Daphnia pulex: one gene and its partners. The protein of the gene in region 1 interacts with the protein of each later gene in a pairwise test. Links are inferred from orthologs where the notes say so. Each region holds a gene or a part of one and is shown on either strand. Other genes may lie near its edges. The genes, in order: histone acetyltransferase KAT2A-like, transcriptional adapter 2-beta-like and transcriptional adapter 2-alpha-like.

Region 1 (10,157 bases):
ATATAATTTTTGTAATGCAAATCCAAGATGACAGGATGGTGGCACGAGAGTGACATTTTTTTTTACCATGCTTTAACAAAGTCAAGTGGTAAGTGTTAATAATAATAATAGCCTCAGTAATGTGCAAAGCATGGAAACCATATGTGTATGTTTTGACTGCTAAATTGAAAAAAGTTTTTAACCAAATGATGAGAAACTAAACTTATTGCCTAACCTAAATAATGGACAAAACAGTAGCTCAATCCCTATGCAAACTATATTACAACACAACAACACATCCTGGGCTTACAGTTACACTGCAACTGAAAACGTTTGACTAATGACGCGTAATGACTTGAGAAGAATGAAATATGGCTGTCTGCCCCAAAGTCCCTAAGGGCAGGGTGACGGGAAACAGGATGGAGGTTGGGACGTGCAGAATCGAACACATTATTTGCTAACAATACGCTAACTTAATACTTATCGCAAATAAAACAATACGATATTATTCAATTACCATGGCACAGTAAAGACCATAGATAAAGACCACAGATAAAGACAATCGACTTTATCTGTGATGTACAGATACTTAACAAAATTAATCTTTCTACAAAACACACCTTAAAAACAAGATTTTCCGTTGTACTATACAATGTAGTAGGAGACTCAGGTCAAACGTCAGTGTTCAATGGTCAGCAGAATGAAATAATAGTAGATACAGTATATTTTTTGCTCTAAAATCAGAATGCTTCAAGGAAGCAAAGAATCAAATTTCAAATAATTCCGCAAGTCGTCTCACACTTAAAAAACAATTGACATCGCATGCGCGTATACAGCTATAGCTGGTTTAGCCCCTTGGGGTTTACTTTCAAAACATCGTCTACAAAAGACAAATTGTCAAAAAGTCGGGAAAAATGAACGTCGTGGAAGATACAATCGCGATTACCCTTTCAGTGGTAATAAGTTGTGGTTATGTTGTCATGCGTTTGTCTCTTCAAATTTTAACTAAGAATGCGTCTTTTATTCTGGTTCTCGATAGATAATTTTTTTTGCCGGTGGATGGGTTTTTTTTATGAAACAACTCTTCAGGGACTATGAAGTTCATCACCATACCGTTCAATTAATATTTTCAGTAACATTTGCTCTTTCTTGCATTATGTTTGAACTTATTATTTTTGAAATTCTAGGGATATTAGATGCCAGGTATTATAATTTCATCTTTCTAACTTCATAAATCATACTAATAATGATTGCAAATATTTTTAGCTATCGCTTCATATGCTGGAATGTGGTGCTATACACAATGCTAGTATTTGTGATTGTAATTATACCGTTTTATATTGGATACTTTGTGCTCTCAAATATTCGTTTTGGTAAGTACCATATATATCCCTGTAATCTTTCTACATACAGATATTACATATTCTGTTGGTTTACTAGTCAGGAAAGGTCTTGTCAAAATTTTGTCCCTGATAGTTTGGGTTATCTATCTATACCTATTCTGGAAAGTTGGTGATCCCTTTCCAGTAATAAGCAGTTCTAAGAGGAGTCTCCGTTTGCTCTCAATGGAACAAGGCATCTCTCGCATAGGTATTATTGGTGTCACAGTAATGGCCCTTCTTTCTGGCTTTGGTGCTGTGAATTATCCATACACTTCCATGGCAGTATTTATGAGGTAAACTTTATCAAACATATGCTTCTCTAGGCTAATCTCCCACTGTAGTGAAAATGCTGTCCTATTATATAATCTAATTTCAACATAATTATTTATTATAGACCAGTTACTCACACTGACATTCAGATAGTGGAAAGGAAACTGATGCAAACTATGGACATGATCGTTGTTAAGAAAAAGCGAATCGCTCTCATGGAAAGAGACTCCCGAAGTCAAAAGAATAGAAACACTAAAGAGACCAGCACTCTCGGAGTTTGGTCTATGTTGAAAAGTGTAGCTTCTGTTCGAGTCAGTAGTTCCGAAAGTAAGATTTTGGGATTCAAGAAGAAGAGCTATTTTAATTAAACTTCTAAATTTATTACTAGATTTATCGTCTTTAAAATCTGAAGTTTTAGCTCTAGAAGAGCTTAGTCGTCAACTTTTTGTAGAAGCTGTTGATCTTCATACAATGGAAGACAGGCTAGAGTGGTAAAACATTAGGTTTTGTGTGATATTTCTAAAGGTGCAATCCTCATTTTCTCTTTATTATTTCAGGTCTACAACATGGCAAGGAAAGTACTTTAACTTCCTTGGTTATTTTTTCTCAATATACTGCATGTGGAAGATTTTTATTGTAAGTATTGCCCTATCAAATTTTAATGACAGAATTTTAAGAAATCTTGTATAATCTCGTTTTTAATTAACAGAGTACTATTAACATTGTGTTTGATCGAGTTGGTCGAGTAGATCCAGTGACGCGCGGTCTTGAGATTGCCGTACATTGGGTTGGATTGTCGATCGACTTTAACTTTTGGTCTCAACATGTTTCTTTTTTGTTGGTCGGATGCATTGTCGTTACTTCTATTAGGGGGTTACTTTTAACCCTAACCAAATTTTTCTACGCAATCTCAAGCAGCAAGTCATCCAACGTCATTGTTTTACTTCTCGCCCAAATTATGGTAACTATATTACTTTATATGTTAGTTTTTCTGTAATTGAAATGATCAAAGTTTTCTTGCTTTTTGTCAATTTTTAAGGGAATGTATTTCGTATCATCTGTTTTACTAATGCGCATGAACATGCCTGCCGAGTATCGTACCATCATCACTCAAGTGCTTGGAGATCTGCAGTTTTCTTTCTATCATCGATGGTTTGACGTTATCTTTCTTGTCAGTGCTCTGTCATCTATTGCTTTTCTTTATCTCGCTCACAAACAAGCTCCCTCAGCAGACAGTAAACTGAATAACTATTAATTCAATTCTTGAAATGAAAACTAAGCCAAACAGGTGATGCAATGAAAATTTTTCTCAGCTTGTTTCTCATATTGCTTGATATTTATTTTATTTGTCGTCGATTGAGTGCATGTAATATAAATACTTGTGTCAACATTTAACTTCTTATTCGAACGTCAGCTTCATTTATCCCAAAGCCCAGCATCTTTCATTTTCGCTATATAGTATTTTTCGAGTGCGTTGGCGCACTTGCAATATTCCGTGTCAGCCTCATTATAGTGGCGACAATTGGAAAACATGCGTGAAATGTCCGCCATGAAGAGCTTCCGATGGATGTAGTAACGATTTTTTAATCGATCCCCCATGGTCTTCAAATCTACAATGAAACTAAATTAACATCGGAACGTTAATCAATTGAACACAATTGTAAACTTACCCATCGGAAATTTGATGTGGTCGTAATAATCTGGTACTTCCGCTCGATCAACAGGTTTCAAGAAGGGCCAGGAAGAGGCATGACTTCTCACCTATATAGAAAAATGGAATAACATGTTTTCTTCTTTTCATAAAAATTAAAGCAACCAAACCTGATTGAGAACCGAACGTAAAGCTTGATATAATTGCTCTGCATCAAAAGTCTCTTCGATTAGACGCTTAGATCCGTAGCCATTGGATGGTCGCCAGCCCGTCAATTTCAGTCCGGGAATACTGTCAATAGGAATCTCTCGAACACCATCTTTAAAGCAATTGAGACCTGGATGAACTTGGCTAATTTCTTGCTGCTTCATTTCAATTAGATGTTTGACAATCTAAAAATTAAAAAAAAAAAAAACAATTAAGAAAGGAACAATAATGTTGGATATTAAATCTGGGTAAGACCTCTTTCTGCTTTCGAATGATTGCGGTAAACTCTGTGTAAATAATACGGGGATTTAACTCGCATCCCATTAGAGTTGCTCCTTCGTAGTCCTTGATGTAACCGTTATAAACGGACTTTGGAAGCTTTATTTCTTTACTAAACCCTTGTTTCTTGAAATAACCTGCACATCACACTGCATTAGGAAAATTATTTGAAAATAAAAAATTTTGTTTGCTCACCAATGGCGTATTCGTCGGCAAAGGTAAGAAAGTGAAGTACATTGTGTTTGATATGGTAATCCTTAATGTGATTCATCAAGTGAGTTCCGTACCCTTTAACCTGCTCTGAGGAGGTAACGGCACAGAATACGATCTCGGTGAAACCTTGGATGGGGAACATTCGAAAACAGATACCACCGATTGGTCGACCATCTTTGATCAACGCCAAAGTCCGATGCTTGCTACACGTAAATTGGATAACATTTGTAACTTTGGTGATTTAAAGTATAAGAGACAAAATTTAGGACTCACCAATCGAAAACCAACCGTGTGATGTATTCTTTCGGCATTCGTGGTAATTGATGCGAAAAAACATTTTGTAACCCAACCAACCATGACATGGTTTGTTTGGATACGGTCTGAGTAAGAGAATTTCCCACTACGTGAAAGGATATCAAACCACGACGTTCTTCCTGTTTTGCCGCTTCGTCTCTTGGTGCATTTTCTGGGAAGACGCTCTGGAAAACCAAAATAAAGCTCTGTTTAGAAGAGCTTAATTCTTTACACGTAAGAAATTTGTTGGCTTACTTCGGGACCAAGCATCTTTTTGGGGTCATTAATTACGGCAAGAATTGTGGCGACAGTTTCTTCAGATATGTCATGATCCAAACGTACCCTTTTCGCATCACCTTCCACACTAGGTTCGCTGTCAACTTGCCGCTTTAACAAGTTCCTAATTAAAATTGAAAATTATTTCCATGTAGACATAGGGTGGACATGAAGTTTCGACATTACTTTTCTACATCTTTGGAAATTGATCTGACAATCCCGCTGTTTGTCAAACGATGGAAGGTTGCTTCGTTGCTGGACTGGGTTACATTTTCCTCTAATATCAAGAATTATCAAGAATTAGATTAAACATTAATAAGTTGGAAAGCAATGAAATAAATACCTTTGATGTTCTCCTGTTGATTTGGGAGTCGATGAACATACGACGGATCCCACACAGGCGATGCATCATTTCCTAGTTCCATTTCCATGTCTGCCAAGAACTTCGGAAAATTATTTATGATCATATCCCGTCGTTCGGGTGGCAGTCGGTCTTTCTCGGCTAAGAAACGATCCATGAGCTGTCGCTGCACGGTGGAATAGACCAGTCGAAGAAAGGACCGACCAAAAATAGCACTAGTTTCATATTGCGGTAGGGAGTCGCAATAGCTCGGAACATTGCAATAGCATAACCACCTGCCAGAGTGTAATATTTTTAAGTTAAAAATAAAATTTCAAAAGCTAATTTAAACTGAAAATAGGTTTACCTCGTGTAACTAATTCGATACACGGAGAGGTCAGCTTGTGGATAATGTTGTTTCCACTGAGTAGGGGTTTCCAATTTCCAGTGATTTAAACAGTGGATAAACATTTTGGCAAGATCACACATTTTTTGAAACTCCTATGAACACAATAAATTTAATTTAATGTTTTAAAGGATAACTTTGATTTCTTACCTTGGGGATTTGTTGACTGTATTTGAACATGACAAAATTAGTAACACCCTTGCTAATACTTAGTTTTTCAAAGGGTGGAGAGCCTAAAGGCCCTTCTACAACTGGTTTTGTCATCTGCATTATACATTTCCTCAAGAGCTATATTCCAAAAAAATAAGAAAATTTAAGAAAACATTTTTATAATACTTGTTTCACTAAAATGATTTCAAATGTTATTACTTTAAAAAGGCAAAAGTAGACTTGTTTGTTGTCTGGATCTTCTTCCTTGTTAACACAGACAAATAAATTTTCTATGTCCACTACCAGACTTAAAAGTTGGTTTAGTTCTTCATTACTGGAATTTATCAAGTGAGATACATGATCTGAAAGGTTATGTGAACAACTGCGGCATGGATCAGTTAAATTTGCTGATGGAAGAACCACATTTATTCCTGTATTGTTGACATTTGGTGGTGTAGTAGGATTTTTCCATCCATTGCATTTGCAATTTTCATCAAACTGAAAAAATAATTATGGAGAAATGTCTCAGTTAAGTGGTTCTTCATTATAAAAATAAAAATAATCTTAAGAAATAAAGCATGTTCATTATAGAACATTGAAAATGAAAACCCACCTTGCAACTTGAATAAACAGCTAGCTTTTCCAATTTCTTAGGATGTGGCCATTCACGAACCTGCTGCTTCCGCAGTTGAATTTTTTGAATGTTGTTCATACGATTCGTACCAACGCCAGCAGCTGAGTTGTTATTTGCCGCAACTGGGTTAGAAGTGTCAGTCATATTGGAAATGTTTTTATTCTTGAAATTCACGGGAAACCAAAATCTGATATCCTTTCTTGTAGTTGTACATCACTTTTAGTGAACGTCATAAATATACTAACTGAACTCAGAAGTACGCAATTAGGGGAATTACGGGGATTTCTAGCAGAAATCCAGGCGCGTCGCGAAAATTTTTGTTTACCCCCGGTGGCGCAAGATTGCCACATTTACCTTTATCCTTATGTTTTTGGGAACGGAAAAACGAAACATAAAAATTAATTTTATGAAGAAAAGATTTTTTAAAATTTAAACTTGACATAAGACAGCAAGTGAGAAACTAAAAAACTGTCGAAAAAAACAAGTGAAGAAAATCGCCTTTTAAAATACGATTTGAAAAAATCCGACACTGATGTTTGACTCCAACTTCACTTAACAACAAGTCAACAACATAAGAAATTATGAATTTACGTCTGAAGATTTAAAAAATTTACCCTGTTTACGAAATCTGTTTCTTGAAGGACTAAACTTCAGGTGTACTTTCCTGTGTAATTGTATGGGGGAATAACCTGGATGTAAATATGGATCACGAAGAAGTAAGCAAATCTATTAGCAGACCATGAATCGCACATAATTTTCGTTTTTACTTACAGCGGCTGAAAGCGTCATTGCATTTTACCGTGGGTAAAATGTGTGAAGAACAGGAAGCTAGAACTCACATTAGTTTTGACAAGCATGTGATAGCAACAATAAATGAAATTGTCTGGCAAAAGATCAAGCTGGTTACACAAGATTTGGAAGCTTTTGCCAAGTATTAATTTTCTTGATCGCTTATGTTAAAATAAGATGTATGCATTGTTATTTACATTTGTTTATTGAGGCATGGAAAGCGCACAACAATCAATGGAGATGATGTGAAGCTGCTGGTTCGAAGGAATGAAGATTTAGTAAGTATTCAAGTAAAAACATTGTGAGAAGCCAATTGAGTCCATTGAAAAATTATTACAGAAAGCCATAGTAGAAACACTAGGATCAACCAACTCAGAGGATAATGCAAAAATAGACAAGGGGAAAGCATTGGTGAAGAAGAAGAAAATCGAGACTGTTCCACCAGAAGTGACTCTGGACACAGATGATGATGACATGTTCACATGACTATGATCTAAGCTGTATTGTTCTACATCAGGGAAGACAGTCGTTTTGTGCGTTTGGGAGGATTATGTGGTATGCGGAACATCAAAAATAATTAAAATAAACGACGCTTCTAAATCGCCGCAAATAGAAACACCGAATACATATTAAGAGGCGTAGAAATTCCAACCGATTATTATTTTTTTTATGGCTACCAAATAAATGGTCGAATGTCGTTTAATTGTGTCCTGTCGTCAGGCACTCGTCATTTAATACAGAGTTACATAGCGGAAATATATTTTTTTAAAAGTCACCGACACATTTTCCTTGTTTAGTTTCCCTTCCATTTGTCTTCTAAAACGTGAAATATTTTCTTTAAAGCTCGGTCGAAGTGGTGGAAGTCAACGCATTGACTCTTATGGCATTGCAGGATTTACACAGGACACGCCCATCCAACGGGTAACAACCGCGCCCTTCAGCTTCCGACGATAGAACTAAATCGCAGTCCTAATATCCCAAAAAACCATGTTAGGATGTTGACAATTAGAAAAGTAAATATATGCCAAGTTACCTCGCATTTGTAACATTGTACGTGAAAGCTCCGATCCAGAGCGACAACACGAACAGTTTCTTCCTGTCCAGGCTCTGGCATGATGGGATCGTGACAAACAGAGCAGCGCGGAGCGAATTTCCTAAAACCAAATATTATAGTATTTTTAACGAAGGTTCGTCAAGAAACAAGAAATAACAATCGTACTTGTGGAAATCGTCAATGCAGTGAATCCGGTTGGCGGCATCAACCGTGAAAGGAATGCCGTCCAAACAGAGTAGACAAACAATGCAGGTGAAACACTGGGGATGGTAAGGTTTTCCTGTGGCACGTAAGATGCGGTCGAGGATCGGCTCGGAGCAAACACAGCATTTCTCTAGGCTATTCTATTTGTCCGTCAGAAAAGGGAGTCAAGGGTTAGAAACTGACACCATTTCAAATCTGTTTTTTTTCTTTTCCTTTTAATTTACCATGTAACATTCTTGACAATGGGGTTCGCCATCGACCGCATAGAACGGCTTTCCTTGCAGACGGCAATTGCAGACACGACAGGTAAAACAGGCTATGTGGAACACACGGTCCATGGCCGTGCAACCAGAGCCTTCACCCACGACCTTCAAACCGCAATCGGCACACATTCCTGCGCACGACGTTCAGAAGAAAAGCAGCGTGAGTGTGTGTGTGTGTGTGTGTGTTGTGTATAAACAGCAAAGGCCAGGCCGGGCATAAAGCCGAAAGAGGAAAAAATAAATATATCAACGTCCTTGACGGATATTTATGCTCCCAATAGGTTCTTTCTCTCTTGCCTTTTTGCCCAAATCAACAAGATCGTCTCTCTTTCTTTTTTAGAAAATGGCAAAAGCACCAATCAAAGTGGAGGAGAGCCACTTGTGAACCAAGATGTTGAAATTTCAATCGTACGCACTTCACTTTAGAGCTAGACGAATTTACTAACCAAAGAACTCTGGGTCGGCGGCATTATCCATAGACTGGACGAGCAAATTGGTGAGCGCATCCACTTCTTCCTCTTGAACTGGCGAAGTGGCTCCCTTGGCGTGACTGGCTTGGGGTTTCAGGGTAGCCGCAGATCCACCGGCCGCAGATCCGCCACCGTAGGTGGTACTGCTACTGCTACCGCCGTAAGGCGGATAGGCAGACGTCGTGTAGTGCGACGGGCGAGTCAAGCTCGACATGCTGCCAGCGGGACTGTGTTGATGATGAGGTCGTGGTTGAATCGGCTCGTACAGCGACTCGTAGTTGGACGCCTATATACCCCATCACCAAATAGATTCAAAACAATAAAACATTAGCACCCTACAGTTTGAAATCATCCTGGAACAACACGAGTGATACCAACAGGCGTGGAAACAACAGGCACAGGTGTTTTGATATCCGAATCGTTGGGGGGGAATCAACTGGAACAAATTGGAGGGTGACTGAATGAGATAAGGAGCGAGGAGCCGTTTCTAGCAACAAGTAGTCTGAAATCCGCGTGCCAAACCACTGAGCCAAAAAGGTGACACGCTCACGAGAGAGGGAGCTTTGACGTAATCAAGTGCGGGAAACATGCAAGCAGCGCACGGATCTTGGCTCGTCGTTACTACGGGAAAAACCTCTAGATGCGCCCAACTCCTCCTCTCTTTCTGTCCCTCCCACCACCACCTCAACGCGGCACGCAGAGCTCCAACTTTCGCTGCCATATAAGTCGCGCTGAGCCCAGTCTCTCTCCCCCCCCCCCTTCTTTCTTAATACTCGTTTTCTTTTTGTGTGTGCATTCGGACTATGGGCCCATTCCTTGATGGGAGGTGAGATAGAGAGAATTCACAAACTGACTATTCACGCTACCATTCGAGGCAACCATTTTCGGGACATAGTCCAAGAGCAACACACTCAATAGCTGTGGCTCAAGGAACAAGCTAGAAATCCGTCATCGGGCAAATTTGAAAAGAATAACTCGTAAAAAAGAAAAAATCCCAGATATAAAGCATTAAAAAGAAAAAGAAAAACCTTTCCAATAAGAGAAGAAACAAATATTCATTCCGTCAGTTCAGTTTCTACCTGGCCAGTATTTACCTTCGTAAAAAGGCGGAGGTCGGAAAACATGAAGCCAAAAAGCAGTTTGCCCACCCGCTGTCCCAGAACTTTTTTTTCAAAAAGCAACTCCCGTTTTTGACCGCCTAAATTATTTATAGCTCAAGCTGCTGCTGGTTTGCTGAAGCGAGCGATTTATATGAAACGTCGGTTGGCGCGGCCAACTGTCAACACACTCGATGTT
Region 2 (10,161 bases), on another chromosome or scaffold:
TTTGTAATTTTTGAAAAATTCCTCTTAACAAGCGATCTCCCACTCAACCGGACCGAAATGGTGGGGGTACTTTTCGGATCGTAATCCGGAAAAGAACTTTACAAATCCGGACTAGGTCTAATCTGTTCAGAATCGCAAGGCGATTCCAACGGAATTAAGTCCGGATTTTTATCTTTTCCCGTTCACGAGATAATCACGGTTGAAAATCGTGAAATATCACGAAAACCCAAAGTCTCCACGTCCGACTACATCGCTTTTAGCCGTATATTCGGCTTGTAAAAAAAAACTAATTGTTACAAAATGTAGCCCTTTCATCCCTCTTTCAGAATCCAAAAGGATTTTTTATAATTCTTTGATATGTTTGAGATATCACGATTTTCGTGATACCCCCATTTCGACACATTTTCCTACTACTACCCCCTATACCCCACACCCTATATTGTTAAGGACCTTCGTATATAAATATACCTCAGGGATAAATGACTTATCAAAGATGAATAAATCAATATTATTTTTTGTTATTTTCCCAATAACGGAACATTAAAAAAGGAATAAATCCCTTTTTTATGAAAAAGCTATAGTCTTTTACATTTAACATGCGTGTATCATGCATGCCAACCCGGGATGCTGACCATTAGACCACGATATAATAGGAAAGGTACACTCTCGGCTATCCCCAAGACCGGCGGGTGTTCAGTGAAGGGTCCCAAGATTCCCCGCCGAGTTCGCTAGTCTTTCAAGCTTATCGCCTCTCGGGGGTATAGTAAAAATAGGGGTTTTTCGTTCGTTATCTGTAAAATTACCAATCAATGTGTCCAGAAATTGATTTAGTTTAAGTTTTATGTGATTCCCTATCCTTAAATACCTAATTCATCTAGATTAGGCAATTTTTTATATGTTTATTTTGTGATTGAAATTCACAATTTTTTGAAATTTGCACCGAAAAATCAAATCAAATGTATTTTTTATTACATAATTTTGTTTATTCTATTTTATAATAAGATAGAAAAGCAAGCTTTTCAGCTCGCCGCGAAGGGATAGTCGTAAGCCGGTTGAAAACTGTCTTAAATGAAAAATTCAGGGCCTATTGTTAAGTCGAACTTTTTGCTAAATGCCTTCCTAATTTTTCCAAATTTTTATATAAATTCAATGTTTTTTCTATGAAATTTTGTGAAAAAAAATTCTATCGCGAAATTTTGATTTGTCTGAGTCATGGTTAACAAAGGGCATGGGTCAAAACAATATTTTTATTCAAAAAAAAAGTAAATCTATAATGAGACTTGAACCATGTCCATCTTCATTATCATGCCAGCGCTATAACCAAAAATCTATTTTTCGCATTTTAATTCCATCCATTACCAAATGAAATTGATTGTTGTGCTACAGTGTCGTGTCGTCCCTTCACTGAACACCCGCCGTTTCTTCCAAGAGACTGGGGTAGCGCGAAAGTGTACCTTTCCTATTATATCGTGATGGACTACTTTACTTAAGGACGGGACTCTTCGCCTATCTCGCCGTGTTAAAGCTAGTCGGGTCTCGGGTGGGTATTTTCATGAAAAAATAAATAAAAAATATCAAAAATATTCAGTTTTTTTCGCTGATTCTAACTGTTTAGATAAATCTAAGTAAAATTAACTAATCAATAAGATATTGTAATTTTACTTTCAGCAGTAAGGGTAAAAGTGGGAAACACCGGTGCCCTCTAGCAACAGCTCAAGCACCCTAAGGCGCTCTTGCCAATATAACCTACAAGGTAAAGGAGAGTTAGGCAGCTATGTCAGAGGAATAGAGATAAGAGAGTGGTCTCTCTTGCACGCAATGGGTACAACCTGGTCTCAGCTGGCGCGCCAGCACGCAACGTCAAATGGCGCTTGCTGGCGTGCCAGCACGCTACAACAAAGTAATCTACGGCATTCGCCAGTACGGTCCGACTTTTGCCATACCCCCACGGTGGCATCCAATGCGACTGCGGCGGTGGCTTCCCGACATTTATTTATTAGATTTTATTTACAATTCTTTCATTTAAACCTATTTTACAGCTATATTAAGTATAGTTTTTTTTATTTACGAAGTTATTTGTTCATTCCTGGGTATTATTAGAATAATGATTATTATTTTCAAAGAAACTGAGATTTCAGCTGGCGTGCCAGTGTGTTCCGCTTTTTGTTCAATGTGCTTTCTACGGCTGGTGGTGGCTTCCCGAAATTTATTTATTCTGATTTATTCACAATTAATTCATTTAAAGCTATTTTATAGCTATACAAGGTTAAGGTTTTTTAATTTGTGAAATTATTCATTCGTTCCCGGGTATTCTAAGAAGAATTTTTATTGTTTCAAAGAAACTGAGATTTAGCCTTTAGGTTGTACCGACATGCGTGAAAATAAAATTCTTTTGCAGTTAATTATACATGCGTATGTTCATAATAGACTTAATCTGATTTCAAATTTTGATTCAGAGTAAAAATTTGAGTCAGAGTTGTAATTTTCATTCATATTGGTGGTCAGCCGGATAGTAGCGTGCAAAGAATTGTAGATTTTAGCGATCTCCTTAGTGACTCACCTTCCCACTTCCCCTCACCCTTCTCCGACTAAGCCTCCCCAGTTCTACCTCTCTTAGACTCTGAATCTAAGACCGCGATCTAACATTGAGATTGAGTCCAGTCGAGTCCAGTAACCATACTGATAGGTGGCCGCCACCTCACGTTGCACTTTGTTCTTATTAAGATGAAAAAATCAGGTGATCTTTTATCTGATCAAACAAAAAAGGTTTATCATGCAAATTATATTAATATACTCAAAATTATTCGTAAAATTTAACTAATCTATCAAAACTAAAATGAAATGAATATTGGAAATTCGTTTAAAAAAAAACAGTTGAACTTTATTCAAAAAAGACACATATTTTTTCAACACAAAATTGCTGTTTTCACTCGACAGACAGAAAACCGGCTTTCGTAAAATAATTTACAATCATAGACTGCTCGTCAGCAGCCAGGCCGGGTAGGAGCGGAGTCTTGTCGGTCCCACTCTGAGAAAAAGATTTGTATTTTATTTCAAGTGAATAAATCAAGAGAGTGAATGATTCGACTTACCAATATGAGATTGGCCTTCAATGACGTATAGTACAATGGTCTCAAACGTAGATTTTGGCAAATCTGAGATTTAAAGGAAAACAATTATTGGATAAAACTTTAAAAATAATAATTATAATAATCGTTTCACTGACTTGCTTTTCAGCAGGACTGAGCAGTTCTGAACCGGGACATAAAGTGAGATCGTCGCTCTTGGCGAGGAAATTAGCAACTGCCTCCTGCCATTCTGACTGTGAAAGTCGGGTATTAGCGGAGAGTACGGGCCCGAGTCGAGGCAGACTGCTTGAAACGCTGAGGACGCTGCTGTTGTTGTTGCTGCCGAAGGAGGTGACTTTTGCGTCTCGAAAGCTTGAAAGTAGCACTTCTTCCCTTGCGTTGCTGCGAAAAAAAAAAAAAAAACAAAAAAAACAAGTTACATACATAAGCCACGAATTTACTTAACAATTCTAAGAACTAAGAAATATAGTTGAGATTTCGTAATATAATGCAAAGCTATCACAGGTAACTGATGAGTTAAACTGCACATAGTATGTAAAAAAGGGGAAATAATAAAGCTTACTCTGACTTGTGTAGTGTCCCAGGGTTTTGTACAATCGGCCCCGGTCCACTGCTTCCCTACGTTAAAGTCTATTGTTCAATTTCCAGTCTTTTTTGGGTTCTAATTTAACTAGCTTGTAAGATACTTAAAATAAAGACACATAAGTAAAAAAATAAAATCGAATATTCAACCAATGGACACCACCAATAATGATTCATTTCAACGAAGTATTAACAGGTAAATAAACCAGTCGCACACTCTTACTATCGCTTGACGAAACTATGCAAGCAATAGTACAGACTGGGAAAATTGCTTACGGATTTCCGGCGCTGGCGCTCCAACCGGGCTTCTTTCTTTCTTTCACGGAAGTATCGCAGTCGTTCATATTCAGTACATTCCTCATGTCGAGTTAATCCATTCCTACGGTATTTGATTAGTTCTCGAATCCGCAATCGCAAAGCTCTCTCTTTAGTTAGATTGCGTAAGAATTGCTCATGCTCAGGTGCCGTGTGGAATTGGGAAAACGAACGAAATTTTTCTTGCGTTTCTCTGTACAAGGAAAAAAATGTAACTGTTTGTAATGAATCTATAGTTAACTAATTGAAACATGAATTACTTTTCCTTTTGGGACTCCCTTTTTTTTGCGGCAGTCGTAGGTTTTTCCTTCTCTTTCTTGATAGCGTTAAAAAATTGGGATACCAGTTGAAAATCCCGAGCAACCCGCTTCCTTCGGGCTCTTTCCCTCAGGCGGCGAGTATACATATCGACTTGAGCCAGTTTTAGAGCCAAATCAATATCCTCGTCGTCATGATTAATGGCAAGATGAGAAACAATTGCCTCAGCTTCATTGTCATGTTCCTACAAAAAATAAAAATAATGTTGAAGTTTTTAAGACAATTTGTTTCATGACAAATTAAGACCCACCCTTTCAAAATCATCTCTTTGAGGCATGTATCCAAGTTCTAATGTTTCTTCAGGTTGAATAGCTAAAGGTGGTAGTCGTGATGTGATGGATGGAGATAGAGGTGCATTATCTGGACAAGTGTGATCAATTGCTGCCAAGCGAGACTCTCCACTTGCGAGAAGTCCATTTGGAAGCCCTTGCCATGTTAGTTTACCTATTGTTCCTGTGACAAATCTATCACAGTACTGTTCTTTGCATTCTGTAAAAAAAACATAATTGGAGAGTAACTGATGATAAAATCCTGATAAAAATCAACAATTACTTTCTGAATCCCGTGTTTCTACATGTTTCGCAACATCTTCCCAATTTCCATAACCAAACTGTTCTATTGCATCAAGTAACTGATAGTCTTCCCTTGCAATCCAGCCACCTTCATCCTCCCTTTGTTGGTCAGGAAAAATACTAAAAGTACCAGGATCCTAGAAATTAAAAATAAAGTATTTATTGAGAGTTTGATAGAAAAACTTAAATACTCACTATTAATCTATATCCATGACTACTTTTATGTGGTCCAATTTCACAGCCAAGAGAGAAACACTAGAAAGAAACATTGCAAAACTGTGTTATTAAAATAATTCAAATTCGCCGCCGACCAACCGGCAATACCACTCCGGTGGGCGTCATAACAAACAACAAAGAAGGAAGGGGAGGGATTCATTCAACGAAGATTTTATACCACACCTGTAAACAAAGTTCGTAATCGACACAAACGTTACATCGGATTCGAATGCCAAGGATGTCGTCCTGACAGTAGCCACATCGATGCTTCATAAATAAATCTGAGGAATGGATACAGAAAGAAAGATTTTCAATTTTCGAAAATAAGGATTCAACGAGAGCATTTTTTTTTACCCGCCATCTTTAGCCTTCCCTTCCCATCAAGAACAACTAAGCTATGCCAACGCTAGCGAAAGCATTGGTCGCGCCCTCTGGTGACTGAGAAGTGAGAAGTCTTTAAAAAATAATTAAAATGACGTGTAAAATTTATAAACAATGTACACCGTACATTTTATTAAATTAAATTTTTTTTAATGTATAACGAGACGTGTTTGGTAAATAGAAATAATTCAACGTATTATATATCACCAATTGGCAACTAGTTCGTGTCGGCTTTTTCAGCTCCAATGCGGTAGTGGTCTGCAAAAAAAGTCACGCAAAATGGCTCTCAATCTGACTGTCAAGTTGCATCCTGTTGTATTATTTCAGATTATTGACTCTTATGAGCGTCGTAATCCTGATGCACAGAGAGTAATTGGAACGTTGCTTGGTAACATACAATTTAGATCATCCGTTTGCTTTCGCGTTTTATTGTTTTTTCGACTGTTGACACGTGTATCGGTATCGAGTACCTGACAAAATCTTTGGATTATATACCTAAATTCCTATAATATGCGAAATCGAAGTTGTGATAACTCATTTTTCATATTGATTTTTTCCAGGCACATCAGATAAAAATGGTGTGGAAGTGACCAATTGCTTTTGTGTGCCTCACAATGAATCAGAAGAAGAAGTGGCTGTGGAATTGGACTTTGCCAAGGATATGTATGACTTGCATCGTAAAGTTAATCCCCAAGAAAGCATTGTAGGTTGGTGGGCAACTGGTACTGGAGTCACATCTCACTCTGCTCTTATTCATGAGTACTACTCCAGAGAGTCCTCCAATCCTGTTCACATTACAGTGGACACCACATTGCAAGATACCCGTATGGGAATCAAAGCTTATGTCAGGTACATGCTATTAATTCAGTATGATACAATTGCTTTGAAAAATAATTATCTTTAAATTATCATCTAGTGTCCCAATGGGTATCACAGGCAAAACTATGGGATGCATGTTTGCTCCTGTTTCTGTTGAGATAGCATGCTATGACCCAGAAACTATTGGATGTAATTATAATAGAAAATGTGTATGTATACTGGGAATTAATCTTTGATTGTTTTTCAGTAAATGCCTGCCAGAAAACCAAAACCTCGGTTAAACGTCAAGCGGGCATCGCTTCGGATCTTACTCAGATTGTTGAAGCCTCGCAGCAGATGGAAAACATGCTGGACACTATCTTGGCTTATGTTGACGACGTAATGAGTGGCTCCAAAACGGCTGACAACACGTTTGGTCGTTCTCTATTAGATATGGTTCATTCGGTACCTAAAATGACACCCGACGAATTTGAAGAGATGCTTAATTCAAACCGAAAGGTAGAAAACATTACCCAATATTTACTTATTTAATCTAATTTTTGTAAAACTTTATTAATTTAGGATTTATTGATGGTATTATATCTATCACAACTTACCAAGACTCAACTGTCGCTGAACGAAAAACTCACATTGTTGACAATTTAATTCAGAACGTTGATATAAAAAATAAAAATGAACATCTCCCAATTAAATTACAATTTTCTGATGTAGTCCTCGTGAGCATATTTATTAGGAAACTATAGTATACAGTCACACGTACACAAGGGGGAAGAAAATTTCTTCGCTACCAAGGAAAAGAATCACACCCATCTTCTCTCAGAGAGCAAAAAAAATGATGATTAGGAAAAGCGAAAAACAGAATTTCAAGAAACGACCATCAGGAAGTTGGCCAGGTTTAGTAGCTATCGTTTACATGAGGAATGCTTAATTAAGCAGGCACATTGGTGGGTAAGATAGATTTATCCAGATCGGTAAACCAAGCATGATCTAAAGCATCCTGAGCCGTGATACGAAGGGCTGGATCGTAAATGAGAGTTTTTTGAAGCAGATCAAATCCAATCGAGTCAAGTTGCTTCACGGAATTTTGAAGGTGGTAAGTATTCCAATTAGGGAAAGTAGGTTTATAGTCGGGCATTTTTGAAACGCCTGGCCACATTTCCTCCGTGGGCGTCTTCATTACTCTGTGTTTCAAATAAAATAGGAACAAATGTAATTTTAAAAATAAAAAAAAAAGGACAAGTAACACTACCGGAAAATACGGTAAAGCTGATCAATTTCCGAATCTCCTTGGAACAATGGCTTTTTCGTTATCATTTCAGCCATAATACAGCCAACCGACCACACGTCTATGGGGCACGAATATCTTGATGACCCAAGCAATACTTCAGGAGCACGGTACCATAGAGTAACAACCTTCGTGAGTTCAAAAGAATTTATAGTATACGTCCATGCATTGGGAACCTTCTTTCCTTTACCTCGTGAGTGTAGACACGAACGGGAACTCCAAATACGCGCCCAAGACCGAAATCAGCTATCTTAATAATTCCGTTTTTATCGATGAGTAAGTTCTGGGGCTTCAAATCTCTATGCAAAACTCGACGTCTATGACAATATAAAATGCCTTCCAAAATCTAGAGGGAAAATATAAATCAGGCCAATATATAAATGAGTCCTAAATCTTCTAAGCAAACCTGGTGGCAATAAGACTTAACAAGAGTTTTATCCATCAACTGCCCAGTTGGAATGCTGTCCATGTACTTTTTAAGGTCCATTGACAGGAACTCAAAAATTAAATACAGCTTTCCTTCTTGCATCAAAACATCCTCCAGACAGACGATATTGGGATGTAGCAGCTCTTTCAAAAGTGATATCTCCCTGATGGCTGTCGAAGGAACACCATCATCTTCATTTTCAAGCCTGATTTTCTTCATGGCAACAAATTGTTGAGTCTTACGGTTTTTAGCCTTGTAGACAACACCATAAGTACCTTTGCGAAACAAAAGTTTTAAAATCAGTTCAAGTTACACAGCTTAGTGTACCAGGGATCATTACCTTCACCGATCTTTTCTATTTTGGTAAAGTCTTCCATTGCAGAAGGCATCACTATTGTTTGTTAAGAAACAAGAACAAAAACCAAAAAGTGTGAAGAATTGAAATCTCGGGAAAGTAACGGAAATTTGAAGTCGAATGGCAGCAAACAAAAACTGGAGTGACGTATTCTTCGTATTCCACCTGCAAATCAGATTGTCATCAATTGATTCGTAAGACTCTTGCATAAAATATTTCGTTACACGATAAACAGAGAATAATCTAACAAAGTAAAGAAAGTTCGTACCCAACGTGTTTCCACAGACTCGACTTTAAAGGAAAAGGTGAGCACACTTGGATGTCAAAGAGACGGTGGCGGCCGTTGGACTAAGGAATGTAACCGCCAAATTTTGAAACGACTTCATCACTTCACAGAATCACGGCCCTCTATGGGTGATAATCAGAAACCCATTGGACAAAATGGATGTATTTGACGAACCTACTATACGATTTCGAATTTGTTATAGTTCTTTTAAACTTTTTTAAGGTTTTGAATTAAAACTCAAATTAAAATAACAAATTCCCGCTGGTGATTTCAAGTTATAATTGTCTATTAGTTCGAATGACGCTAGTATTATGAATGAATAAAAACCCATACAACTTATACAAGTTTGAAAAACTCATTAACATTATCGATATTATTTTTAAATATCATTATATTTTAAATGAACTGTTTATTACCACTATAATCGAAACATTTTTACCGGTAGACTAGAAAATATTTCAGCTCAAAATTTCAGCACAAAATAATTTCTAAAAACATTGTTACCCGCAAGGCAAGCCGTAATGCAGGAATGGTCAAGTATTATTTTTAAGAAAGCCGTGCAAGCAGGTAAAAAAATCTTCTATAATTTCCGACATGTAATTTTCGAAAATATCTTACTAAAATTGTGAAAACTCTTAAAAATTTAGAAAAGAACACTTAAAACAGATCAAACAATTTAATTTACTCTTCCTCCGAATTTCAGTGAGGTAGCAGAACATGTGACAAATATTTTTAGTTACAAACTTCAGAAATGATGGAATTGTTTTACAAACGAATCTGTAATGGCATTAAAAGACACAAAGAACAAAAGAGCCGGCTGCCTTGGTCTTTCTATTCTACTATAAACGGATGATCCTGGTGGAATTTTTCATGAATGAATAGTTCTTCGTACGGCACCCATACTTGTCCAAATATAGCCAGCTTCTTTTTCACTAGACACTCGAACATTTTCATCCAGTTTGTAATATTCGTTCGGCGCATGCATTACGAAATCAAGATAATCCAGCTTACGTGGCAATTCTTCTTCAGGACCTAAACCAAGACTGTTTTAATGCTGTACAGAAAAAAAAATATAAAATTCACATACCTAAAATATATGTCTGTGGATCAAATCCCACATCTGGGGGTGGTGAACTTTGAGTTGGGATGAGCCAAGTTAATACAGCACTTTTTTCACAAAATTGGTCTTGCAGAAGCCCACGAATTTGTGCATAATAAACTCCATCATCTTCATCTGTGACTGAAACTATGTCCCCCACTTGATAATAAATGTCATGATGAAACAAATGCCCACTAGTAAAAGAGGTAGAAGCAACAGTGGGGGCTTTAGATGGTAGCTAAAATTTAAAAAGGAATAATTTATAAAAAGTTATTGGAAAAATCTATTTAATTTTTCTATCAAATTTATGGATTTGTTTAACCTGTTTCTTGAAAACAGCTCTTCTTCCACGTCCTTTGCCAACTGTTGCTTTATTGGCAGTTCCTAGTTTCTTGCTTCTTCCACGTGTCTTTTTTG
Region 3 (9,370 bases), about 1.3 Mb from region 1:
ATACAGCCGATGCTGCTGGTCTCCAATGAGGTTTCACCTGGTTTTACAGGTTATTGCACGAGAAGAATATAAATTGCGACCATGAGCAACTACTTCCATCCATTTAATGGGTTCAGTTATATATATTAAAAAAAAACCTTGAGAGCTCTAGTTGAAAGACAGACGAGAAGAACGACATAATTGGAAGGCAAACTGGATGATAAATTACGGTGAATACAAGTGCAGTATATATACTGGTGTCGTTGATGCTGGGTCGTCTAGGGAAAAGGAACGCATTTGGGAAATAAACGAGAGCTCATCGGTGCCATCACGATGGAAATTGCAGCGTATACGAGCGTGACTGATATCTAAGTAGGTGGCCCATAAATCTTTCCATGGCATTCGGCATTGCACTTTTCATTTCCAAGTCGATACTTTTACCAAGGACTAAGCCGGCGCCACTAGAAAGGAACCTCGATTAATTTCAATGAATAGGACACATTTAGCGATTTGGGAGCGCAAATATATGGTCGATTGGTAGCATCAGGCAATCAAATGTGCCATTCGGTTTTTTTTCGACGGTAATTCAGCTAGACGATAATAAAAGGGTGACGGAATGAATCACCATCAAAAGCCTTGGAAAGAATAAAAAATTTAGTTTCAAATGGGGAAAAAAATGACTTTCAGTTCAATAAAGTTTACTTGTTTGTATATACCAAAGGAGAAGACGAATCGGAAATGAAAAAAAAGGGAAACTCTTGTGATGTCGAGATCCAATTTTCCATTCTGCATGAAGAAACTCTTTATTAAAGTTTCTTTCTAGTCTCCGATAAGACCAGACAATGTTTGAGAGACGGTGTGCACAGTCTTGATTGTAAGGGCATCAGACCAGATTTTGTCCGAGTCGGAGAAAGAAAAGTAAAGTTCTTTTACTTTCCTTTTAACAGTTACGTGTATACGTCGTTTACAGTCCGTATCTGTCATTTATTCTTAGCATCTCAAGACTCAAACTTTGCTCGGCAACACTAACAAATTATCTGACATCAAAACAGACACTAACCGACACGGGCAACGGAGGTTGGCTTTATTCCAAGTCACCAGATTTTCTCTCTCCGTCTTCTGAGGTATCTAATCATCTGAGTGGATGAACCGCCAGGATGAGCGCAGCTCGTACACCTCGTGGTATCAAATCTAATTAAAACGTGGTGGAAGGTAGTACAAGGCAAGAGAGTCGAATGCAGTTTTTTTCCATCAAAATCCTTTGCCGTGGAAATCGATCTCATTACCCTGGTGTACACACGGTCCACGTGTAAGTGGATCCTCGTCTCTTTCTTTTTTCTGGTTTTTAATATGATCTTATGGTGCACGAGACTTTTTTCTTCTCTCTCTTATCTTTCAAATAAGCCACGACGATTATCGATCAGCTTTTGGCTCCAACAACATTTTCCTAATAATTTAGCTGGGAGTCTGTGGTCGCATAGCAACCGACTGTCTAATAAATAACCAGATCCACGAAGAATACAAGATAGTATAGGGCAAAGGAGCAAAGAAAAATATAGGACCTCAGCAACTGCATCCGCCAGTAAATTCAATCAAGAGCTTTTAAGTGAAGGCCAACCCAAATGCCTCGCTATCGTTAACTAAAGGCTCTCTCGTCCTACGCTTTGCCGCACAAGTGTGTGCATCACTCTCGACTGCGCCCATCCCTGGGATGGAAAATCACGAAAAAGGATGAAAAGGAAAATCTGTATTGTGACCAAAGGAGAAAAAAAAGAATAAAATATGAGGAATTTCAAGTGCATTTGCCTGACATGGGTTGGTCGACCGTGTTCAATATTGGAAGCTTCGCTTGGTTTGAATATCTTCCAGAATCTGTCGGAGTTCTTCGTCTTCAAATCGGCCTTCAAGACTGCGGGAAATCAAACAAGTCTTTCGTTATAAAAATCAATTAAGATATCAGTGACGGTTGGATGTACCTGGGAATGAGAGATTTGGCCTCTTCAGGGCTTTCCGGGCACAAATTAGCCAGAGCTGCCAGTTCGAATTTGTGCAATTTTTTCTGCATCAGCAAACTGGAGTTCAAGAAGAAAGAAAGAAAAAACAAAAGTAAGGAAAAAGTTGGGAATGAAGTCATTGATTCATTCCGGGAAAAAACAAACAAACAAATCAAACTTTCAAGAGCATCAACCTGCGAATGGCGGCGATAGTCTCACGATTCTTGAACTTGCTAAAGCGCTGAGTGTAATTAAGCGTCTTCATAAAGACTTCCGACAGTTCCTGCTCGTCCTCTGCGCTTTCATTCTGTAATTTACGATGGTCCAGCAACATGTGGACTTCAGATATCAGCAATGTTTCCGCATTCTCGAACTCTGTAATGATGTGGAATGGAGACAGAAGAATGAAACCGCATTAAGGGATGGTTCACTGTGCAAACTACTAAACTAGTGCCCACTCGTTTGTCGACTCTTTTTCTTTCTTTTCCTGCTGATCTAAGAAAACAAACCTGCATGAGCTTCCCATGACTACAAGCCCACACATCTATATATCTATATATATATATATATAACAGGTAATTCGAGATGATTTCAACACGCTAAAACGACATGAGGCTTGACTGTATAACGCAAGTTTATTGCTCATCTCCTCTTCCCCTCTCTCTCTCAGTCTCTCTGCCCCCTGTACAAAACATTATTATAACAAGTGGTGCCATAAATCAAGCGGGGAAGTAGATTAGTTTCTCTTCTAGGAGGAAATCAAAGATCTTGCGCGTCTTGTTCACATCAATCTTGATCAACGTCCTGGCCTGAGCCAGCCGAATGCCTTTGCGGTTGCGGCACTCGGCGATGAGAATGTTTCGAAATTCCATGTACGACTCGGGAACGAGACGTGAAACGGAGCACAACTGACGTTCGCCTTCGTTCAATTTGTCGTAACCGGGCAGACCGACAATGTCCAGCGGCGGTGCGCTCCTTCGCTGCTGTGGGAAAGGGCCAGCCGGGCTGACTAGAACGTTGCCGTTGCTTCCTTGAAGCAGGGCTGAGGTCACCAACTGTTGGTGCTGCTGCTGGACGGGGAACGCCACGTGAAGGTTGGCCGAAAACTGCTTCCACTGCTTCATGTGCTTCTCACGACGAGCCTGAAGCTGCGTGTAGATTTTGGCCGACGCCAGAGTCTTGATCCCCAAGTGGCGGTACCTTTGCAGCTGCTGGATTCGCTGCCGCAACTCGACATGTCCGTGCAAGCCTTCAAAGAGACTGCAGTGGTCTTGAAATTTGAACACCTGGGAAAACACCGAGAGACGCTCACAAATGCGATGTGTCAGCGTAGAGTCGTAGCGATAACGAGCCGCCAAATGACGATGAAAATTGATCAACCCGTGTTCCTGGACGATACGTTTCTTTCGAAATCTCTCGCGCAACTTGTCGTTGTACACTTGCACCACGGCCACGGCCAATGCACGTTCGAGTTCTAAAGCCTCTTGGTCGATTTCTTCGTCGGGATCGGGTTTCGTTTCATCCTGTAACGACGCCACGTCAAATTCTGCATTCTGGAAGGCTTCCACTTGGAAATCTCCTCGAGCAGCACAGTAACCGGCCATGTCTCTGTGGTAAACTGATCCAGGAACAGGCCTAGGGGGGTCGTGAGTTCCGGTTCTGTAGACGATAGGCTGAGGCCTGTACAGTCTCTCTGGACTTTTCGGTCTTGGTAGAGGTTCCACTGGGTCTTCAAGGTACCACTTGTTATAGTGGTTTGCACATTCTTCAGGACTGGCTTTGGAGCGTTTGGCAACCTCCGTCCAATTTGATGGCCCATGCGTAGACAACTGATCCAGCAAAGTGAGTTCTTCCCGAGCAGTCCAGTTGTCAAAGAGGTAGAAATCATCTCGTATGACCCTGTAGCTGTGATTGTTCAAATGGTGATTGCTTTCCTTTCCCTTGGCAAAGCACGTTGGGCACAAGTCCACTCTGACACACTCCTCGCACCTGATGTAAACTCCAGTCAGAGGGGTCTGACAAATGAAACACACTCGAGTCTGGGAACAATCTGTCGCCGGCCACACATTTCCACATGGTTCATCAGTCGACATTTCTAAGAAATTCGTTGCAAATGAATTAAACGTTCACGAAACGTGCAGTTCTTAGCCAGGTCTAGCCTAACAGCAATTAACTGTAATAACTGTAAATCCCTTTATGAAAACATATCAAGCCTAACACAGGGAAGCTCAAAACCGTAAACTGGGTAGGAAATTATAGTTCTTTTTACCTTTTGGGAACTGCAAAACAGCGGCATCTTCGTCACTGATCTCTGTGGCGGCCGCCATTTTCAAATGATATTAGAGTAAAGTGTAACGACGTTGCCAGACTTGCTGTTGTGATTTTCGTTGAAAATTTCATTTTTCGAAAAATATTCATTTGGCAATTTTGTACCAGTTTTTCCCAGCCGGATTTGACCTAGACTATCAGACAAAAATCAAAACGAATAAATTAATACTAATTGGAGTCCCAAAAACGTTACACAAATCATTGTGCAAAAGAGTGTGGCCTAGTGCCCTAGTCCACGTTTGTTGGATTTCTCTTCATTTCCAGGAAGTTGTTTTTAAAACATAATTTTTTCGCTCAAAACCGCACACAAGTCTGAGCACGAACAAGGCGCTAGAGATTTCGTAATCTCCAACATCCGGCAGTCCTGCACGGCACCACCTCGGCGAATCATCGGAATGGTTAATGCCAGCCAAATGAATAAAACAGATGGCAGCGAGCGATGCAGCACAACCAACCAGCCAGCCTGAATGATTATATACGAATATTTAAGAACACGGGGGCCTGCATGGTTCATAATTAAAAGGTTTTCTACCGACTCCCGCCATCAATAAGTGTTGGCTCAGGAACGTAATAATTGATTAAGAGCGGAATAGACAAAAATGCCGGGCAAAAAGATGGGCGTACAGGAAATATGAAGGAGAAAGTAGGATTATTAATTGATTAGAGTAGGCAACGAAGAATTCCCTATATTACACAATGTAATACGTCGTACATGATTAATGACAGAGAGAACTACGTTCCAAGTTATTTTCAAGAAGATGAGGAAGACTGCCGGATTATTCTTGCATAAAGACGTCGAAGTAAAACTTAAGGGAGAGAAAAGGAGCAAACGACGATGAAATAAAATACGAAGGATTATTGTAGTCGGAATACTTTTATAATAGAAGAAAAGGCCCTTCCGCATAAACTTTCACTCCGACCCCCCCTCTCCCCAAAAATGCACTTTGCGCAACATTTCCGGTTGCGGAGAAAACTTTACACTCAAAGAGGAGCTGGCAGAACAAGTTTTACCTAGTGTACGTCTATTTACCGTGTGTATAGACCCCCTCAACACACACACACAAAATAAAGGGAGGGGCACCTGTTGGGCTGACTATATATTAGAACGGATGGTAGGGGGTTGCTGTGGTGGTGGCGGAATCATCCACCCTAAACTTGTAATCCTTGCGGCGTTCGTTCACGTTCGTCCCTCTGCTCTAGCTCCTCTTTTCCATCACGTAATCTCTATGTTATTAAAGGATGATTGTGAGTGTCTGGTAATCCGCATTTCGCGCTGGCCAAAAGTTCGGTATTCTCTCTCTGCTACCAGCGATCCTGCCTGGACATCCTGTGCATTTCTGAACTAATTAGTAACATCTATATAAACCCCAGCTCCTCGTTCTAGATGATTATCCAATAGAAAAAGCTAATGGAGCTCCATTCGCGACGCCATTTTCATCCGCCTCACGTGAGAATTTGGGGAACAATAAAAAAATCCCAATCCATCGATTTTTACATTTTAAATGTTTCCCAATTTAGGACAATATAAAAGAAAGCGATCGAAAATAAATTCATTAATTGAAGGACCCCGCCCACTTTGCCGTGAGCCAAACCGATCGACAAGCGTTTTAATAATAACAATCAAAGAATTCCGCTTGGCGGCTTAATCTCTCCGTTCTTCCGTCTTCCGCAACAGCAGTCGGCCATAATAATGGCAACTATTTTGTACGGATTATTCGCCCCTCCTCCCCATCGTAATAATAATAATAATAATAATATATTGGGGCTCAGCATCCAGCAGGGTCTTCTTCTCCGACAATAAAACCCACCGCGGAGCCAAAGCGGAAGGAAAAAAAAAAGAGAACGTGCCTTATAAGCCCCGAGACCCAAGTTTTGTTATGTCTTTCCGAGTCGGAAATCAAGAGAAATCGGTCAAAGATATTACACGAGAAATAATTGACATAACTTTAGTTGCCTATTCGGTTGTTATTGGAAAATTCTGCGAGTAACAAGTTCACCTACTTTTTCTACTGGCCGGATCAATGAATCCATCCATTGCAGATGGGAGGAGCAAAAGTCAAAAGAATCTTCATGTACGTAATAGTAAGCTGACAACGGAAGTTTCCTTCAACCCGAACATACACACACACACACATCTCCTCCTGCTCTATCTCTTCCTTGAAACTTCTTTTTCCCGAACGACGCCCGGCGACTCTGATTGGCGTGTTTTCAAACAGATAGAGAGCAGCGTTGACGTCATCCCGCTCAAATGCCTGAGACTGCTTTTATTATTGATATTATCATTGGGTTTGGAATTTCCTTTTATTTTTTTTTCGTAATCTCGTGCAATCGGATGTAACACACCGACGGAGGTGCCATCACACACTTGCGGGCGAGACGCAGGTATACACACACACACACAGCACAATAACAAGCAATAGGAGAAGAGATTCGGGCGCGAGTTTATTATTTACTCGCTCACGTTCGCGTTCAACGCCAGCAGGCCACTCGTTCGGAATAAAGCCCTTCCAACCCGCGTGCCAGATAGTATATATTGGCTATATAGACTCCCCTTGCGTGAAAAAAAAAAACCCGAGCCGTCCGTATATATAGACACACACATACACGCTGAAACTGCCGTCTAGTAGTATTGATTGGTCGCGGGTGCTGGGCGGTAACAGCAGCAGCAGCATCGATATTATACAGTGGAGAACTGCTGCTGGCCTGTGAGCCAAAAGGAGATGAAAATTGAGAAATGAAGGAGTGCGCTATAGACGCAACTAAAGGCCAAGTTGAATGTACACATGTGTCTAACCCTGTGCAAAAAACAGCCGGTTTCAATCAGCTGGGAAAACAAGCTCAACAATGGAGAGAGCCGCCGGCCTACTGAGTATCACATGCGGGTGCATGGCCTCCGGCTGATGAAAGACTGTTGCTCTCTATACACTCGGCTTTGATCCGCCGGATGGATACACACACCCAATCAGTTCGTCTTCTTCTTCTTCCGGAGAATATTCATTTCTGGTTCACTTTCTCCCATCGATCGATCGATCGCTCCGCCTCCATACATCTAACGACCCAATCCATTTGTTGACCAACAAGAAAACTTTGAGCGCGGCCATTTCTACGATGCGACTGAGAAATATGTTACGTCAAATAAAAGGGAAGAATTCCGGCCGTCAAAAAAATGGCGTCGTTCCCACCCATAACAACCCGGAGAAGATATAAGAACCTTATTCACTTGCATCGCTCCCGCACGTCACGTCTATAATAGACATTTAATAGTATATGAAGGTATAGAGAGAAGGCGTGAGAGCCAAAGTGTCGTAAAGCGTCGCCGAAAAACGACGCCGATCCATCTTAATCGTTTTTATCCCTCCTCCTCCTTGATATCCTCCTCATTTGATTTAGAGAGACCGCCGCTCCCCTATTGGGAGATGCACCCAAGGTGGGGGGAACACACACACGAAAAGAAAAAGGGGTGACATAACACACGCCAGTGTGCTGCTGCTTCTCTGACCGCAGCCAAAGTGAATGGACGCCCCATTATTTACAGCTCATTGCTGGCGGGGTCGATTGATCTCAATAACTATTACAGGAGGAGGAGGTGGTCGTAAAATGGCGGCAGACGTTTCAAGTTGACATGTTTTTCGTCTGACCTCATATCTCAGCTCCGCAAAAACATTTGTTCGCCATTATGATCGATTATGTGATCGGTTTGAATTTATTTTTATTTATATTTTCCAGGAACGAAAGAAACGCCAAATTCTCAAGACAATTTGGCTTCCCAACTGGATTGATTCCGTTGAATTTATTAATTGCGTCCTGATAGCCGGTAGAAAATTAAAAACAAAAAAAAAAAGAAATCATTTCTTGATTTGATATTCGACGAATGGGGTGGAGTCGCCGTTTCGGAGAAAATATTTATTTAACAAAGGGAAAAGGGACAGAATAGAAAAAAATATAAAATAAAATAAAAGCCATGGCGTCCAATCACCTCCTCCTCCTCCGCATAATCGTCCTTATAATACGTATACATTTGAGTCTGATTGTCGAATTAGCCAGAAAAGTATTTCGTGGAATATTCACGGCACCGCAATTGGTTTGGAAATCACATTTCATTGCGCTCGTGTTGTCACCTTGAATTACGATTTGAACCAACAACTTTTCATTGTGTGTTGCACATCACAACTGTTTTTTTCCCGGAAATTCCCAATTGAGCGATAATAAGAAAAATCAACAAATTGCCGACCTTGCATATCTTCCTATTCGTTTTCCTTCTTATTGCATTTACGAAGCGGATTGCCTTGAAGAGTCTAAATGGAAAACCGGTTGGAAAAATTTGACAAAATAAAAAAAGTGACGTGATCTGCGAGCAGTTTGCCAGCAGCTGCAACGTAAAAACAAACTGTGACGTCTCTCATTTCGACTCTTGATTCAAATTCGATACAAATCGGCAGCAGCAGCAGCAGCTGACGAGCGCAATCATCGACGTTCTACAACACAGCCGACCTATAAGGTAGTACGTCTAATAATACAATAGAAATTGAATTCCTTTCTGGCTCTTTTTAATAATAGCGCGGGGAACGCCAACGCACTCGACACACACGCGTGTATAAAAATACAAAAGACCGATATGAGCCATCCAGCGGATTCTGCAGAGCCTATAGCTGCATTCGTCACAACTGACGTCAAGGGTCTCACAATGAATTTGTCTTTTTTCCGCCATGATTACCACTTGAGCAACACTTGACTTTTTCGTCCGGCATCATGCTGCTGCCCAGGGTTAAAAATGGGTTCGAATTTTGTTTTAAAAAGTTATTGCCAAATTGTCGATTGGCTCTCAGCGCAGGTGAGCGCATTCCAGTTCTTTCAAGGAAATTCTTTTGAACTTGCGGTCGAATCGAATATCGTGCGTGACTTGGGTCATCTATGCAAATCAAAAAACACCGTACAGTGAAATAGGAGCTACTCCCGGAAAAAAAAAAGAGATCTGACCATTTTAGGGGGGGGGGGGGGGACACACACAATGCAAATGACATCCTATATACTACACACACACAGTTCGTGAAAACACGCGATTCTCTTGT

The links.
Region 2: the proteins of histone acetyltransferase KAT2A-like (region 1) and transcriptional adapter 2-beta-like interact in a two-hybrid assay, tested with the Drosophila melanogaster proteins (4 studies listed by BioGRID). The link is inferred for Daphnia pulex from reciprocal best matches to the Drosophila melanogaster genes Gcn5 and Ada2b.
Region 3: the proteins of histone acetyltransferase KAT2A-like (region 1) and transcriptional adapter 2-alpha-like interact in a two-hybrid assay, tested with the Drosophila melanogaster proteins (2 studies listed by BioGRID). The link is inferred for Daphnia pulex from reciprocal best matches to the Drosophila melanogaster genes Gcn5 and Ada2a.

Annotation. Positions count from the first base shown.
Region 1 is NC_060028.1:7,761,262-7,771,418, forward strand, and holds histone acetyltransferase KAT2A-like, read right to left. Parts: upstream 6,414-10,157; 5' UTR 6,226-6,413; coding exon 6,061-6,225; intron 5,946-6,060; coding exon 5,667-5,945; intron 5,586-5,666; coding exon 5,448-5,585; intron 5,393-5,447; coding exon 5,259-5,392; intron 5,188-5,258; coding exon 4,895-5,187; intron 4,829-4,894; coding exon 4,738-4,828; intron 4,676-4,737; coding exon 4,531-4,675; intron 4,461-4,530; coding exon 4,255-4,460; intron 4,185-4,254; coding exon 3,964-4,184; intron 3,906-3,963; coding exon 3,745-3,905; intron 3,675-3,744; coding exon 3,453-3,674; intron 3,393-3,452; coding exon 3,302-3,392; intron 3,242-3,301; coding exon 3,048-3,241; 3' UTR 2,958-3,047; downstream 1-2,957. Other genes in the region: Golgi pH regulator-like, read left to right, coding at 894-935, 1,019-1,182, 1,246-1,352, 1,420-1,654, 1,756-1,958, 2,020-2,122, 2,189-2,267, 2,341-2,592 and 1 more; centromere protein S-like, read left to right, coding at 6,783-6,797, 6,855-7,012, 7,082-7,148, 7,210-7,356; thyroid receptor-interacting protein 6-like, read right to left, coding at 7,708-7,839, 7,904-8,024, 8,090-8,268, 8,353-8,522, 8,838-9,147.
Region 2 is NC_060026.1:11,477,628-11,487,788, reverse strand, and holds transcriptional adapter 2-beta-like, read right to left. Parts: upstream 5,528-10,161; 5' UTR 5,454-5,527; coding exon 5,447-5,453; intron 5,374-5,446; coding exon 5,276-5,373; intron 5,132-5,275; coding exon 5,072-5,131; intron 5,014-5,071; coding exon 4,857-5,013; intron 4,794-4,856; coding exon 4,555-4,793; intron 4,489-4,554; coding exon 4,247-4,488; intron 4,180-4,246; coding exon 3,948-4,179; intron 3,708-3,947; coding exon 3,652-3,707; intron 3,471-3,651; coding exon 3,227-3,470; intron 3,156-3,226; coding exon 3,093-3,155; intron 3,029-3,092; coding exon 2,927-3,028; 3' UTR 2,865-2,926; downstream 1-2,864. Other genes in the region: eukaryotic translation initiation factor 3 subunit F-like, read left to right, coding at 5,753-5,861, 6,034-6,322, 6,390-6,481, 6,540-6,790, 6,854-6,937; cyclin-dependent kinase 1-like, read right to left, coding at 7,221-7,473, 7,542-7,705, 7,768-7,923, 7,984-8,279, 8,345-8,393; GATA zinc finger domain-containing protein 1-like, read right to left, coding at 9,514-9,677, 9,733-9,982, 10,067-10,161. UniProt on the Drosophila melanogaster protein: Component of several Gcn5-containing histone acetyltransferase complexes that regulate nucleosome organization; involved in acetylation of histone H3, particularly on Lys-10 (H3K9ac) and Lys-15 (H3K14ac).
Region 3 is NC_060028.1:9,040,073-9,049,442, forward strand, and holds the end of transcriptional adapter 2-alpha-like, read right to left. Parts: intron 4,436-9,370; exon of another isoform or gene 4,431-4,435; 5' UTR 4,301-4,430; coding exon 4,243-4,300; intron 4,069-4,242; coding exon 2,693-4,068; 3' UTR 2,590-2,692; downstream 1-2,589. UniProt on the Drosophila melanogaster protein: Component of the histone acetyltransferase (HAT) complex ATAC; predominantly involved in acetylation of histone H4, including at Lys-6 (H4K5ac) and Lys-13 (H4K12ac).